Callithrix jacchus: one gene and its partners. The protein of the gene in region 4 interacts with the protein of the main gene of each other region in a pairwise test. Links are inferred from orthologs where the notes say so. Each region holds a gene or a part of one and is shown on either strand. Other genes may lie near its edges.

The links.
Region 1: the proteins of CCDC102B (region 4) and HMG20B interact in binary tests that used the Homo sapiens proteins (3 or more experiments, as listed by UniProt). The two-hybrid records come from large-scale screens. The link is inferred for Callithrix jacchus from reciprocal best matches to the Homo sapiens genes CCDC102B and HMG20B.
Region 2: the proteins of CCDC102B (region 4) and CCDC120 interact in binary tests that used the Homo sapiens proteins (3 or more experiments, as listed by UniProt). The link is inferred for Callithrix jacchus from reciprocal best matches to the Homo sapiens genes CCDC102B and CCDC120.
Region 3: the proteins of CCDC102B (region 4) and PSMA1 interact in binary tests that used the Homo sapiens proteins (3 or more experiments, as listed by UniProt). The two-hybrid records come from large-scale screens. The link is inferred for Callithrix jacchus from reciprocal best matches to the Homo sapiens genes CCDC102B and PSMA1.

The regions. Positions count from the first base shown.
Region 1 is NC_133523.1:3,341,155-3,344,894, reverse strand, and holds the end of HMG20B (SWI/SNF-related matrix-associated actin-dependent regulator of chromatin subfamily E member 1-related), read right to left. Parts: intron 3,444-3,740; coding exon 3,397-3,443; intron 3,141-3,396; coding exon 3,068-3,140; intron 2,800-3,067; coding exon 2,584-2,799; intron 1,417-2,583; coding exon 1,284-1,416; intron 1,041-1,283; coding exon 1,028-1,040; 3' UTR 501-1,027; downstream 1-500. UniProt on the Homo sapiens protein: Required for correct progression through G2 phase of the cell cycle and entry into mitosis. Required for RCOR1/CoREST mediated repression of neuronal specific gene promoters.
Region 2 is NC_133524.1:49,609,954-49,613,453, reverse strand, and holds part of CCDC120 (coiled-coil domain-containing protein 120), read right to left. Parts: intron 2,192-3,500; coding exon 2,033-2,191; intron 1,916-2,032; coding exon 1,825-1,915; intron 1,683-1,824; coding exon 1,549-1,682; intron 867-1,548; coding exon 726-866; intron 317-725; coding exon 22-316; intron 1-21. UniProt on the Homo sapiens protein: Centriolar protein required for centriole subdistal appendage assembly and microtubule anchoring in interphase cells. Together with CCDC68, cooperate with subdistal appendage components ODF2, NIN and CEP170 for hierarchical subdistal appendage assembly.
Region 3 is NC_133511.1:80,384,758-80,388,257, forward strand, and holds part of PSMA1 (proteasome subunit alpha type-1), read right to left. Parts: intron 1,064-3,500; coding exon 975-1,063; intron 191-974; coding exon 120-190; intron 7-119; coding exon 1-6. UniProt on the Homo sapiens protein: Component of the 20S core proteasome complex involved in the proteolytic degradation of most intracellular proteins. This complex plays numerous essential roles within the cell by associating with different regulatory particles.
Region 4 is NC_133514.1:111,380,029-111,383,954, forward strand, and holds the start of CCDC102B (coiled-coil domain-containing protein 102B), read left to right. Parts: upstream 1-1,126; 5' UTR 1,127-1,202; exon of another isoform or gene 1,203-1,483; intron 1,484-1,630; 5' UTR 1,631-1,756; coding exon 1,757-1,774; intron 1,775-3,926. UniProt on the Homo sapiens protein: During interphase, forms fibers at the proximal ends of centrioles to maintain centrosome cohesion. During mitosis, dissociates from the centrosome following phosphorylation to allow centrosome separation. Contributes to CROCC/rootletin filament formation.

The DNA of each region.
Region 1 (3,740 bases), on a different chromosome or scaffold from region 4:
GCTTTGGGAGGCTGAGGCAGGAGGGTCTCTTGAGCCCGGAAGTTCAAGGCTGCAGTGAGCTGTGACTGGGCCACTGCACTGCAGCCCGCGTGGCAGAGCGAGACCCAGTCTCTCATACACAAAATGGCTGTAATGGCAAGGTTTATGTTGCCGAATTTACACAATGAACAAAACCAGTGACAGTCTGCTGGGGAAGGACCTGAACCCCCGTGTGGACCCAAGTTGAAGGATGAACTGAGCAGCTGTTGACTGTCCCGAGCCCCAAGCCCCCCACGTGTGCTGAGCCCACACAGGTAGAATGCAGGATGGAGATGCCTGCCCTGCCGCTGGCTGGCTCTGTGAACCCCAGCAAGTTTGGGTCCCAGCCTCCCTCAGAAACTCTGAAGCGCTGCTGGAGGTAAGAGAGCAGGCCTGGCACCCCCAGCAGCGATGTCATGGGGGCCACAGCCACACCTCCTGAGCCCTCCACACCACCCCAAACAACTTACACACTCACCAGCTGAAAACACGAATTCTGTTTCTATTTATTTAAAAAGTCCGGATCCAGCACTGGGAAGGGGCCGCACCCAGGAGGGTCCCCTGGCCGGAGGACGGCAGGATGGGCAAGATCACCACCCCCATCTGGGGGCAGGCATTTGGGGACCCATCCCAGGTAAGTCCCCACAAGGCAGCTGCCTGTGTGACCCAGGGAACACACCTGGGTAATCTGGGGGTCCTGCCATGTGCTGGGGGTGGTTGTCTGTCCTGGTCCCGGGGATAATGGGGAGAGCCGCGCGGTGCATGGCTGTCCTCCGAGGAGGGGTACCCGCGGCTGTGCGGTCGCAGTGTTTCTTGTGGGATCAGAGGGCTGGGGTGATTGAAAGCTAAAGGGATGCTGCAGAAATTTAATTTTAGGGGGGCTGGAGCCCCCAAGGTGCAGGATGGGACCAGGCCCCAAAGGGTGAACCCTCAGCTTCTCGTCTGTGGGGCAGATTGGGGCAGGGCCGCGCCCACAGCTTCTCCTCTGCATCGTGGGCCCGCCCACTCCTCACAGGTGCTCACTGAAACCAGAGACAGGAGGGCCCGGGATGAGGACCGTATCATCTCTGGCCCCCACCAGACCCAGAGGAACCCCAAAGGCCATGCATCAGCTACTCCGACAGATGCCAGGGTTGGGGGGCAGGTGTGGATCGAACCTAATCCAGGCACTGGGATCCGCCCTGAGAAGCTTTGGGGAACTTCTGGCGCCCCCCAACTGAGTGAGCCCGGCCCCGCCCCCGCCCCCCGCCCCACCGGGCACACACCTGGCGACCTGGGCCAGGATTTCCTTGATGCGGATGATGAGCTTCTCGTGCTGTGCGGGGTCGCGCTCGATGGCACCGTGCAGCCGGGCCATGTAGAAGTCCAGGGTGCCTAGCGTGGGCGTCTCGCCAGTGCCTGGGGGACACATAAGGTGAGTCAGGCGAGGGTTCCGGGGAGTCGCAGGGCGGGGACTCCAGGGCAAGGGGCAGAGGTGGGGGGTGTACTGTCAGGGCGGGTCTCGAGGAGGGCGCGGGGACGCGAGTCGGTGGAGTCCCCCGTGCGCTCAGAGGTCGCGACCCTGGCTAGCGCGGGCGGGGCGCACGGTGGGTCAGGGTCAGCCGAGGCAGGCGGCTGGCGAGGGCGGGGCGGGGGAGGCGTGGGTGACGGGGGCGCGGGGAGGTGGGGTCAGTGCCCAAGGCCAGTCGGGGGCTGGCGAGGGAGAGAAGCCAGCGAGGTTGGGGCCGGCAGGGAGCGGTGCCTGGAGCGTCCGAGGTGGGGGCACGAAGGGGCTGTGGGAGGAAGAGGGGTCAGTGGGGACCAGGCGGGAGAGATCGTGGCCGGGAAGTGCGGTCCGTGGGGGCGAGGCCAGGGACGGAGGCGAGCAATGGGGCGCGGAGTGGAGCAATGGGGTAGAGATGCGGGGTTCTGGAGGGGGCGGAGCTCGGGGGTGTGTGGTGAAGGCGGGACGATAGGCAGGGCCGGGTGACTGGGGAACCGGACGGGAGTGGGGTCCGGGTGACGGGAAGGGGGGGAAATGGACGGGGCGACAGGCGGGGCTGGGTGACGGGATGGGGAGATGGGCGGGGCCGGGTGCCTGGGGCAGTGGGAGATGGGCGGGGCAGGGTGACGGGCAGGGGGAGATGAGCGGAGCAGGGGGGAGATGGGCGGGACCGGGCGACTGGGGCAGGGAGATGGGCGGGGCTGGGTGCCTGGGGCAGGGGGAGATGGGCGGGACCGGGCGACTGGGGCAGTGGGAGATGGGCGGGGCAGGGTGACGGGCAGGGGGAGATGAGCGGAGCAGGGGGGAGATGGGCGGGACCGGGCGACTGGGGCAGGGAGATGGGCGGGGCTGGGTGCCTGGGGCAGGGGGAGATGGGCGGGACCGGGCGACTGGGGCAGGGAGATGGGCGGGGCCGGGTGACGGGCAGGGGGAGATGGGCGGGGCCAGGTGACGGGCAGGTGGGAGATGGGCGGGGCCGGGCGACTGGGGCAGGGGGGAGATGGGCGGGGCCGGGCGACTGGGGCGGGGGGGAGATGGGCGGGGCCGGGCGACCGGGGCGGGGCCATGGGCGGGGTCCGCACCCGGCACGGGCAGCGAGGCGAAGCTGGCGGTGAGCGCCTGGCGCACCGCCTGGAGCTGCTGCTGCAACGCCAGCGTCCGCCGCTCCTCCAGCGCCAGCTCCTGCTCCAGACGCTCGCGCGCGCTGCTCATGCTCTGCGTGTGCCTCTGCAGCACCGCGTTCTGCTCCTCGAAGGCCACGTTCATCTTCCGCAAGCGCCGCAGCTCTGCCTCGCGGGCTGGGCCGGGGTGAGCGGGGTCAGAGTCTGCGCCTCCCCACTCCCCTCATCGCCCGGCTTTAGCCCGGGACGAGTCCCTGCCGGGGTTTCCATCACTGCACCCTCTGCCTCCTGCTCTATATCAGTTCCTGGGGCGACAGCGGGTGCCTGGGCGCTCAGAGGAAACCTCCCGATCCGCCCCCTCCCACCTTGGGGGCCCTCCTGGCCCACGCTCCCCTCCACCACCCACTTCCACGGAGTTTGCATCAGGACCGCAGTTGACAGTTACCTTTGTTTTGGTCCAAGAACTCTTCAGTGAAGATGGGAACATCGAAGGTGGAGAAGCCGTCGCAGTCCCCACCCTGAAGAAGGGACAAGGTGGAAATTTGCTGGTGGTAGGGGGCAGCCACGTTCTTTCTGGGTGTGCCCCAAACCTAGGAGGGTCTCCTGGGGCACCCTGAGTGCGAGTACAATCAAGAGCGTCCCCGCAGTGCGGTGGCACCACCCCTGCTTGCATACATCTGGGCGAGGGGCCATGGCTTCCTCCTCGAAGCGCCGGTTTTAGAAATCTCCAGACCTTTCTACCTCAGGTGATTTGCTAGGAGGAGAGTCGCTTACCTTGTGTCCATTCAGGAGGGTGTTCATGAGCCCCGAGCCCGAGTCTTCTGGTAGAGGAGGGGAAGAGAAGGGTCAGCCTCCCAGGTCTCCAGGGACCACGCCCTGCACCCAAGGTCAGCCCTGCTCATCGGCTGCAGCTCCGCACCTTCGTCCCCCCGAGTCTGGGCATCCCCTACTGTACTGAGTGAGCTCCCTTCACTTCTGTCTGGCTATGTATTCCTCCCCTGCCCACCCCATGGGACTGTGCCTCATGTAGCAGAGGCCTTACCTGGGCTGCGGTCGCACCCCACAGAGCAGGACCCCAACTGCTCCCGCTGGCCCCTCCCACCATTTTTCTTTCTTTT
Region 2 (3,500 bases), on a different chromosome or scaffold from region 4:
CCCTCACCAGGGGATGCTCACCTTGGCTGAGCTGAGTGAGCCGCATGCCCAGGCAGACTCCCTGGGCGGTGATCACTGGCCCCGTAGACAGTGGCAGTGGCTGGGGTGGTGGGAGCACTGGGAGGCCAAGGCGGGCCCGGACGTCCCCGAGCTGCTCCTCCAGCTCGTGCAGCCTCCGCAGTGCGTCTGCCTGGACCTGGCGCCGGCGCCGGCGCTGCTCGGTGCTCAAATCAGGGGCCAGGGCCAGGCGGCGGGCAGCTGCTGCAATCTGCTGCTGCACCGACACCTCACGCTCCAGGGCCTCAAGAGCCAGCTCCTGTCGGGCCCATCCAAATGTTGGAAATGGCCAGGCACAGGGACCTGGTGGAGCCAAACCCACTAGAGGCTGTCCTGCACTTCCAGTGGCCTATTCAGGCCTATTCACCTGCAGGTGGAACTTATTTACCCCAGGGAGGGGAGGGGGCAGGGCAGGGCAGGGCAGGGCAGGGCCTCTCTTGGTGAAGGACTGGGACTGTTTATCTTCCTGAGCATGGGAGGCCTGTCCTGACAGTTAGGGACCAGCATCCTCCCTCATTGCAGGAACCTACCTCCAGAAGCCCTTTTCCTTCTCACCTTAGCCTCTCCCTCACCTGGCCACAAGCCCCCTCCCCATACCTTCCTCCTGGCTACTCCTCTGTACCTGTCCCCTCTCCCCACCCTCTTGCTCTCCACACCCATCTGCTCACCTCAGCAGGGCACAAGGAGTGGTGTGCTGGGTTGGGGTGTGGTGGAGGGTAGGCGCGGGCTGTGGGGGGCCGCCGGCGGACCAACTGGGGCCGTTCACCAGGCTCCAACGGGCACTCAGGGGGCAGCTGGCCAGTCAGCTCCTGGTGGAGGGCAGAAGTCAGAGACTACCAAGGGTTAGTTGGAAGGATGCGGTAACACATTAATGATCCCAGAAGCTACAGAAGTCCTACCAGGAGCCTGGCCCTGCTCAGCACCCACACACGATACTTCCCTTCCTCCTCCCATTATGTCCAACAGGCAGGCGTGCCCAAATCTCAATGGCCCAAACCCCTGTGGTGGTGGGCATGAGAGGCAGGGAGACCTGCTTTGGGATCCAAAATTGTTTCATTTTTATAAAAGCGATACCATCGAGATCCTAAGTATTATATAACTCCCTTCGGGGGCTGGGGCTGCGTGGTCTGAGCTATAGTATTATTTCTGGCACACTGTGGGCATTCACAGTAAGAGGGGGAAACTGAAACTACACATCACCCTGTGCCAGTTCAGGTCTGACTGTGCTGCCAAATTTTGAACAGAACCTGTTTTCTAAGGTTTGTTGGATTTGAAATTGTCGACAGGGGATTGTGTGCCTGTATTACCGTATTTCATTCATTCTAACACAGCTAAGCTGAGCTTTGAGAAAGTGGGTGACAGAGAAAAGTGGGTGACACAGACAGGACAAGTGGTTGAACAACTGCCACCCAAGTCTGTCTATCTAGGGGACCCAGCTCCTCACCTCCCCCACCACCTCCCCGCCTGACACCCCTAGGGCCAGGCCCTTACCGCCTCCTGGAGACACACTTTGCGGAGCTCCTGAAGTTTCAGGCTCAGGGCCTCCTGTAGGGTCCGCTGCCGGTCAAGCAACCCCCGCAGACGCTCTGACTTCACCTGGGGGGCAGCCTCTCCGAACAGGGCAGCTGGACACAGAGGGAGCAAAGATCAGTGGGACAGCCAGGGCATCCTGGAGCAGCTGTGGGGCCAGGGACCAACTCTTCCCAAGCAAGCAGGTGGTGATTTAGAGCAGGGGAGGAGGCAACAGGAGGGGAAGCAGCCACCGACCTGGGGCATTGAAGGTAGGAGAGCTGATCAGCTGACCTTTGACTTCCATCTTGGTGCTGTTGAGAGGCCGTGGCTGATGGCTGGACAAAGTCTGGCAGTGACACACAGGAGCCGTTAAGGAAGCACGTCCCATGATACCCCAACCCCCAGCCCTTCCCAACTTCCCATGCCACAGCAGGGAATAAGGGGTAACCTGGGCCCCACGTGCCTGCTTGACCTGCCCTTTCAGAATCCGTGTGGATGTCTGGACCCACTTGGCCCTGGTACCTTGGTTCCCTTCGCATTGAGTGGGAGCACAGCAAGTGGGGAGCTGGGCGGACTTACAACGCCTCCTCAGAGGCCCATGGGTCACAGCCAGGAGTCTTGCCTGGGGAGGGAGAATTAATGGGACAGATTCAACCAACCATAAGAACAACAGCCACGCAGTCAGCACCTGGTTGCCTGCAACAGTTACCTACAATGCCACAGTGAATCTTCACAGCCACCTGGGAAGATTCATACTCCCATTTTACAGATGAGGAGAGGAAGGCACAGAGGTGAAATAACTGGCCCATAGCCACATACATAACCCAGGTCCACCCCCTGGACCTACACTCTTGCTCACGAGAACCGCTTCAACTCCACCAACTTCCTCATAAGTTCCCTGGTCCCTCAGGCCTCAGGGTCTTTGCCCAGGCTGTGGCTGCTGCCTGAAATGCTTTCTTCAATCTGTCACCACCCCAGCCCCTTCGTGTCACTTATCATTCTAAAGCTTAAATATCACTTCCACAGGGGGCCCCTGTGTTATATTCTCTCACAAATGGTTGTCCAACAAGAGATTATGCCTCCTGGAACATCCGCAATGATAGAAAACATTATCTGTCCCATTTTCATCAGCATTGCCAGCATCCTGAACACGGCTGTACACGCAAGTGCTCAATGAATGGGTGCCAGGTGAATGAATAAAAGACGGAGTAAATGAATGAGGAGGCAGTGGAGCCAGGGTTCAAGCCCAGATCTGTGGGTCTGTGCTTGTCCCAACTCCATTCTGTAGCTCTAGTGCAGCAAGGAGAGTGTTCACTAGGTTCACTTGACCCAGGGTCCCTCCAGCCCCTCTTCCCATGCCAGCCTGTCCTGAGCCTAGCTAGGGAAGTCCCCCTGCTGGAATTTGTAAGAAGTAAAGTCCACAGCTGAAAATAACAAACCACCTGCCTCCTGCCTCCTGCCTCCTTCTCTGCCCTCAATGCCTCTGCTGACCATGGAGCCTGACTTGGCTGGCCACCAGCCCTGCCCTTGTCCCCTCCTTTGGAGTTTGCTCCCTCCCTTCCACATCCTGCTCAGTCCCCAGCTGGGGAGCTGAGTGACATCACCTCCCACCACCTGGCCTAACCTCAATGGCAGGTGACTGGGAGGGTTTTATGGGGCCACAGAGTTCCCATCATCACCTACCTTGAACTTGGCAGCTTGTCATGACACTGTTAGCCTGGTGTGAGGAAGACCCAGCCAACCAAGGAGGCATGGGTTCAAGCCCCTTCCCCATCTGTATATCGTAGGGTGAGGCCAAGCTGTCTATAAGGTGTCAGTTTTCTCTGGAGTCCTCCTACCTGCCCCATAGGGCCTGTACCCCTCTCTTGAAGCAGTGGTGCCCTGCCTTCAATAGCAGGGGTGGGAATCAGTCCCTAAAGCCTTTTGACAAA
Region 3 (3,500 bases), on a different chromosome or scaffold from region 4:
CATATCCTACAAACAGAAATAAATACACCACATAATTATTTACTTTGGTTGAGCTAAAAATTATAAAAATTTCTAGTTAGTTAAAAAAATCATTAAAATATAATAATCAATGAACTTACATCATAACCAGCAATAAGCAGCCCAACACCATAAGGTCTCCGGCCATATCGTTGTGTTGGTATCTGGGTCTCTTAGACTAGTTAAGAGCTTGTTTTAACAAGGAATGAACTATTCTTTACTTTCTTTTTTTTTGGTGGGGACGGGGTGGAGTTTCACTTTTGTTGCCCAGGCTGGCACGATCTTTGCTCACTGCAACCTCCACCTCCTGGGTTCAAGCAATTCTCCTGCCTCAGCCTATTGAGTAGCTGGGATTAAAGGCATGTGCCACCATGCCTTTTTGGTATTTTTAGTAGCGAGGGGATTTCTCTATGTTGGTCAGGCTGGTCTCGAGTTCCTGACCTCAGGTGATCTGTCTGCCTCAGCCTCCTAAAGTGCTGGGATTACAGGCTTGAGCCACTGTGCCCGGCCTATACTATCTTTATTTTCAAAGTATACATTATTAACAAAGGTTTCTGGCTTCTTCCTTAATTGTTGCATAATCCACCAGAGAAAGAATAAAATAGGATTCTCTATCTTTGGCCTAATATAAAATGTTTGCCTTTCTACCAAATCTAAGAGTGCCAGCAAAATAATTCTTCCCAGGTAAAACTTGGGATTTCTTGGGACATCTAGAACCATTGAGAAACTTTAAATCCCCTCTAAAAAGATGCTTGGATAATTTCCCTGAAGTTGGGTTTATTTATGTCTAGCAAATATAAATTGCTTATACAGGCTAATGAAAGAGCTACCCAAATTGTTTTAAAGTTTTCACAATCTTACCTATGTCATGTTATTATCATATTCCTATGATAATTAACACAAATATCAAAACGCTTCAAAGTTCATATCCATAAATATTAACATAAAAAGGATACTGCTTCCAATTAGAGATACAAGACGTGACACAGGAAGTGGTCTATCAAATACAAATCTGGAATCCAAACACTCCTGACGCATAAAATTACTGAAAGAAACAAAAAAAGTTTAGTAATCTCAAATTACAAACAACGATTCCAATCTAAATTGTTTGATTTCACTTTGCATTCTTCCAAGCGTTTACATGGATCACAACCATATAATGAAGACAGAAGGTAAGAAAGACATGCCTGCGGGGGCACATTTTTGTGTCAAACTCTGGAGCCACATAAAGTTTTTTGTTGTTGTTGTTTGTTTTTGAGATGGGGTTTCACCATGTTGGCCAGGACGGTCTCGATCTCCTGACCTTGTGATCTACCCACCTCTAACTCCTAAAGGGCTGGGATTACAGGCATAAGCCACCACGCCTGGCAAGGTTTTTAAAAAACACTGAAATATTTTTTAGCTCTAGGAAATATTTGTCTTAAAGCACTTACAGAACAGAGAAGAGAAGGTTGAACAAGAGAAAAAGAGTAATCCCTCTTCTCTTATCCTTACCACTGTCAACAAGTTTGTCTTAATTCTAGGTCTTAAACCAGCATAGAGTATCTACTCTGTCCTTTTTTCTTGAAAGCAGACTAACATTTCCCCAATAGAGCAACTGTAAAAAATAGAAATCACAGCAGAGGGCATCTTTACATGTACCTGCCACTGTTACTTATATTCATAAGAAGCACTCTAGAGGAGATACTGGACACTAGCCGCTGAGTCTCACCATTAAATCTGATGAAATTCAAGCAAGGTTACCATTGGGGAAAAGAGAATTCATGCCTATAAAGATCAACAAGAAATGAATATGCCCCTTTCTTTCAATGTTGCTTTGTCCAGCATATGTGTACATCACATCTGATCATCACATGTTGACTACAGGAACCAAGCTATTTGTTCAGTATTTATATTTAAGTCCATTTCCCAACACTGTCTAAAAGTATACTGCCCAATATGGCAGGCAATAATTGCATGTGGCTGTGGAGCCCTTGAAAAGTAGCTATACTGAATTGAGATGTACTCCAAGTACAAAATAGCATGTCAAGTTTCAAAGACTTAGTACCTAAGAACGTGCAATAGCTCATGAATGAAGTTTTCATGTTGATTATGTGTTGGCATGGCAATACTTTATAAACTGGGTTAAATAAAGTGTTTGATAATATAATACATTTTCCACTTTGAGGAGTAGGTGGAAACCCTTTAGGGTGTCATTATATTGCTAACTTAGAGCAAGGGACTGGTTGAGTAACTTTAAATTCTTAAACAATGGCATCACTATTTACACTGCTTTTGCTGCTGCTGTTGTTTTAGACTAAAGTCTCACTCTATCGCCTAGGCTTAAGTACAGTAGCACTATCATAGCTCACTGCAACCTCAAAGTTATGGACTCACCCAATCCTCTCACCTTAGCCTTTTGAATAGCTAAGAGCAACAGGTACGCGGCCCCACAACCAGCTAAGTTTTAAAATTTTTTGTAGAGATGGAGATTCGCTACATTACCCTGGTCTCAAGTTCCTGGCCCTAAGCTTCTCAAAGAGCTGGGATTACAGGTATGAGCCACTGTGCCAGGCCCACCCTTATAATTTATATTATTTCTTTCCTAATCAAATTCACAAATTTAAGAGATTGGTTTTGGCTAACTACCTGCCACCCACAACACACTCACATAATACCTGAAAAGCACTGTGTTAATGCTTTACAGTAGGCTATTTAAAATAATTAAAAATAGGCTGGGTGCAGTGGCTCACCCCTATAATCTCAGCACTTTGGGAAGCCAAGGTGGGTGGATCACCTGAGGTCAGGAGTTCAAGACTAGCCCAGCCAACATGGTAAAATCATGTCTCAACTAAAAAATACAAAAATTAGCCAGGCGTGGTGGCAGGCGCCTGTAATCCCAGTTACTTGGGAGGCTAGGCAGAAGAATCACTTGAACCTGGGAGGCAGAGGTTGCAGTGAGCCAAGACTGTGCCACTGCACTCCAGTGTGGGCAACAGAGTAAGACTCTGTCACAAAAAAAATAAATAAATAAAAAAGTATTTTAAAATAGCTTTGATAAAGAAAACACTGGAAAAAAATTCAGTGTTTAGGTATTTAGCCCAATCTGATACTAAGTGGTGAAAGCGAGAACTCAATCTGTCTGATTTCAAAGCCCTACCTCTTCATTTACGGATTGCCTTTCAACCATAATCTGTCTCCTCAGACTCTCACAGAAATTTATCTGTTATAAACTAGATTTGAATTTATAGATAAACTTGCCTTTAAGTTCCTTTAGACAAGATCCATTTCTGAGTCACTTATGCATACCCTGCAATATCCAGTATTGAGCATTGCAAAAAAAAAAAAAAAATGTCTACTAAATACTGATGTATTAAAAAAAACAAGTACGGTTCAGCTTGTCCTTAGAAACCAGATAAAAGTATCAAGCTCTTCTTAGACATAATATGGTATCAAACAATATACACTGCATTAACAAATATATTACTGAGTGACTTGTAAAA
Region 4 (3,926 bases):
GTTCTAGTAAGCCCATAAATCTAATAAACACAGAGTTCCTTTTTCCTACGTATTTTAACTCTCACCTTACTTTTCCTTTTTACCATCCTGTCTTTTTGGAATACAGGCAGACAGCATTCCTCTATATTTCTTTTGTTTTAGTAGCAATGATCTCTTCAGTAAAAATTACAAATGCCATTCAAAATATTTCCCCTGAAATAGACGGCTAGAACAAATCAAAGTCGAGCTGCAACTCTAATACTTAATACAGGGCATTGCCTGACACAGAATGGGCTCTTAAAGGTTGCTAAGTGAGCGGACCCCAGTGAGAACGAAGGCACCCAGGGCTGAAGAGAGGGAGCTGAGAACAGCGGACACACACTGAGTGTTTCACACCGCACAATCCCGGTGGCCTGACCCTGATCTGAGCCCTGGTGGTAAAAAGCCTTAAACGTGACAAGACTCAGAACCTAAAGCCAAGGCAAGATCTGGCGGTTAAGCTGGGACGGCAGCATCCTTCTTGCCCATCAAAGGAGTGAGCTTTATTGAAACTTCCTGCCACAATGAAGAAAACACAGACACAAGGAAGCGCGCCCTTCCCGCGCCCGGCACTGGCCCCGCACAGGGGCAAGGGAAAGACCCCCAGGTATCCACTCCGTCAGGGCCAGGCAGGTCGGCGTGGCGGGGCGGCAGGACTCTGCGGGACCGTGCGAGCGTCTCCGCGGACCCCACAGGCCTCGCCTCAGCCCCGGGCCCAATCCCGGCCCCACGGCGGGCCAGGTCCCAAGAGCCTGCCGGCGTCGCGACCTCTGCTCGATCATTACCTGTGGCGCAGAGCCGCAGGGCGGCCCGACACCTCCAGGCTGCCATGCTAGCCTGGGAGAGCTGCAGAAGCTGACTCTGTGCAATAGAGAGAAAAGATACCGGTGTCCGCTGCCTTCCCGCCAGGAAAGGGAAGCGGAGCTGACCCAGAGCGGAAGAGAAGCTCCGCTCAGAATACGGGGGCGGGGCAGGCCGGCCTCCGTTAAGCTCCCAGGACCCCGCCGGTCTCCGTCTCTGAGTATGCGCGGAGTGCGGCGCATGCGCCGGGAGGGCAGCGTCTGCGCTGTCGTGTGCTTCAGCATCCTTTGCGCCCTCGGCCCCTCCTGAGGAGCGTGGGAACCCAGCGTGCGGGCTTTATTCGGGAAAGCGGTGGTTGTTCACGGGGGCACGTTTCCGGAAAGGTGAATACTGGAGAAAGTTAGGTTGCAGGCGAGGTAGACTCCCACGACGCACTTACGGGATGAATATTGGCACATCATTTGCTTGCTGCTCCCGTGCAGTGAGTGCACCTGTGCGTTTTAATGCTGGATCAAATTTGTGGAAAGAGGCGCGCCTGAAGACTGGATTGCTGAGCTGCGCGCCACTCTGTGTTTTTCCAAAGCGTTTTTGAAATCGTCTTTCAACCTGTTTGCATAAAGGGACATCTCTTAAATGCAGCAAGCTTTAATGCACTTTTGCCAAAGTAAGGATTGCCTCTTTAAAAACTTTCTCTTGAAACTTGAGAACATAAAGTTAGGCTTAGGATTTTTTATGACTTTTCTGATTACTTTGGAATTAAATAAAATAGTATGAAATATTCATATTGCTACCTGTTTTTTTTTTTCTACAGGACAATGATTTGTAAAACCCATATTTCTTTTATATGAGGTTACTGCAGCAGTCGCTACTTCTGAATTAGATGAAATTTTTATGGGACGTAAGGTACCAGAGGATTTAGATCAAATTTTGAAAACCTATGAGAACAACAGAAAGGGTAAGTTATGATGTCAGCCGGTTCACCTTAGGTTCAAAATTCCAACAGGCGGAAATGTTCTAAAACATTGTTATTCCTAGTGACTAGAAGATTAAATTACACTCTAATTGAGAGCAAGCCTTAAATGTCACCCCTTTTGGGCATACAGCATGGTATCCAGTGCAAGCCCTCTGCAGATTCAATTTTTCTTCCTTTCTTTTTTTTTTTTTTTTTTTTTAAAGAAAAAGACTAAAACATAAGGGGACTGTTGAAGCGACGGGAATGTTCTCTCAATGGTGGTGAAACAGCTTTATAATAGTACCATGGACTTGATACTCTTCTACAGAAGCTTTTCTACTCTCTTGGCAGTATCTCTGAAAGACCCATATTCAGTTTGTTTTTCCATTCTAATGTATTTCAAAGTTCTCTGTCTTCCACAGCATGCAAAATAAAATAATTTCTTTGCATATTTGCATTACAGTTTAAGTTAGCATGTGGAGAACAACAAAAACCAGTTAACCTAGATCTGTGCTCTTCAATAGTGTAGCCACTAACCACCTGTGGCTATTGAGCTTTTGAAACATGCCGTGTCATGAAGTAACTGAATATTTAATTTTAATTTTAGGAAATAAAAAAACTGACACTCGATTCAGTTATTGGAAAGTTTTTTTAATATGATTGGAACAACTGAGATATTTGAATCTACTTTTTCAACTGTAAATTTTATGAAATCTAAAAACTGATCATTTCCCAGGTGTGGGTGGCTCTTAACTGTTTGCCAGCACTTTGGGAGGCTGAGGCAGGAGGATTGGTTGAGGTCAGGGATCCGAAACCAGCTTGGGCAACACAGTGAGACCCCGTCTGTACAAAAAGTTTAAAAATTAGCCAGGTGTGGTGGCACACACCTGTGGTCCCAACTACTCCAGAGGCTGAGGTGGGAGGATCAATTGGGCCAGGGAGGTTGAGGTTGCAGTGAGCTGTGATTGTGCCACTGCATTCCAGCCTGGCAACAGAGCTAGACCATGTTTCTATAAAATAAATACCAATTAACGTATTTCTGATGAAATTAGGGAGGTTGTAAGGAGGTATAGTATAAATGTAAAATATACACTGGATTTGGAAGGCAGTATAAAACTGTTAAATGTCTCAGTATTTTTGTATTGATTATATGTTGTAATGCCTATAGCTTAGCTATATCTTAGATATATTGAGTTAATAAAATAAATTATTAGAATTAATTTCACCTGTTTTTATATTTCACTGTGTTTCCAAGAAAATTTATAATGACATATGTGCTTTGCATGATATTTTCATTGCAGGCAATGTGAAAATGTTCAAAATTATGCATTAATGTGAAAATGATTTAATAAACCAATAGACTTTTTAGGCCTTTTGTTCAGAGAACATGCTAAATTTCCATATGCTAAAACATATTCAGTGTTCAAAAATTTAAGTGTTTTTTTCCTGCTTATCTACCTCAAGTGGTGATCACTTTTTTTGTTATTTAAAAGGTTCTACTATTTTGACAAGATCTTTAAAAAGACTTTCAGATAAGCTACACTTGTACAGATACATGCCTTATATATTTTGCCTACATATGGCTGTAGTCTAAATGTGTATCGCAAATTGCATATGTTGAAACTTCATTGCCAATATGATAATATTAAGAGATTGGGCCATTTGTGCATGATTTAATCATGAGGTGGAACGCTCATGAATGTGATTAGAGACCTAATAAAAGAGACCAAAGGGATTATCTTAGTCCCTTTTCCCCTTCAACCTTAAGCCATATGAAGACACAAGAAGAAGGTACCATCCTTGGAAGCAGAGAGCAAACCCTTATCAGACATCAAACCTGCTGACTCCTTGATGTGCAGCCTCCAGAACTTTAAGAAATAAATGTTTATTATTTATAACTTATCAAGTCTGTGCTATTTTGTTACAGAGCATCAACAGGCTAAGTAAGACACATGTGCTTTCCAAAAGTCATATACACAGGTGTCTTGTTTATGGTAGGACTGTTTGCAATTGTGAAAAGCTAAACAATTCAAATCTGTAAAAGTAGAATAGATAAATTGTGTTGTTATCCTGTAGTAAAGTACTATATAGTAATGAGAATGAATGAACTTTTGTATGGAGAACTGTGTGGTTGCAAATCATAAACTAAATGTTG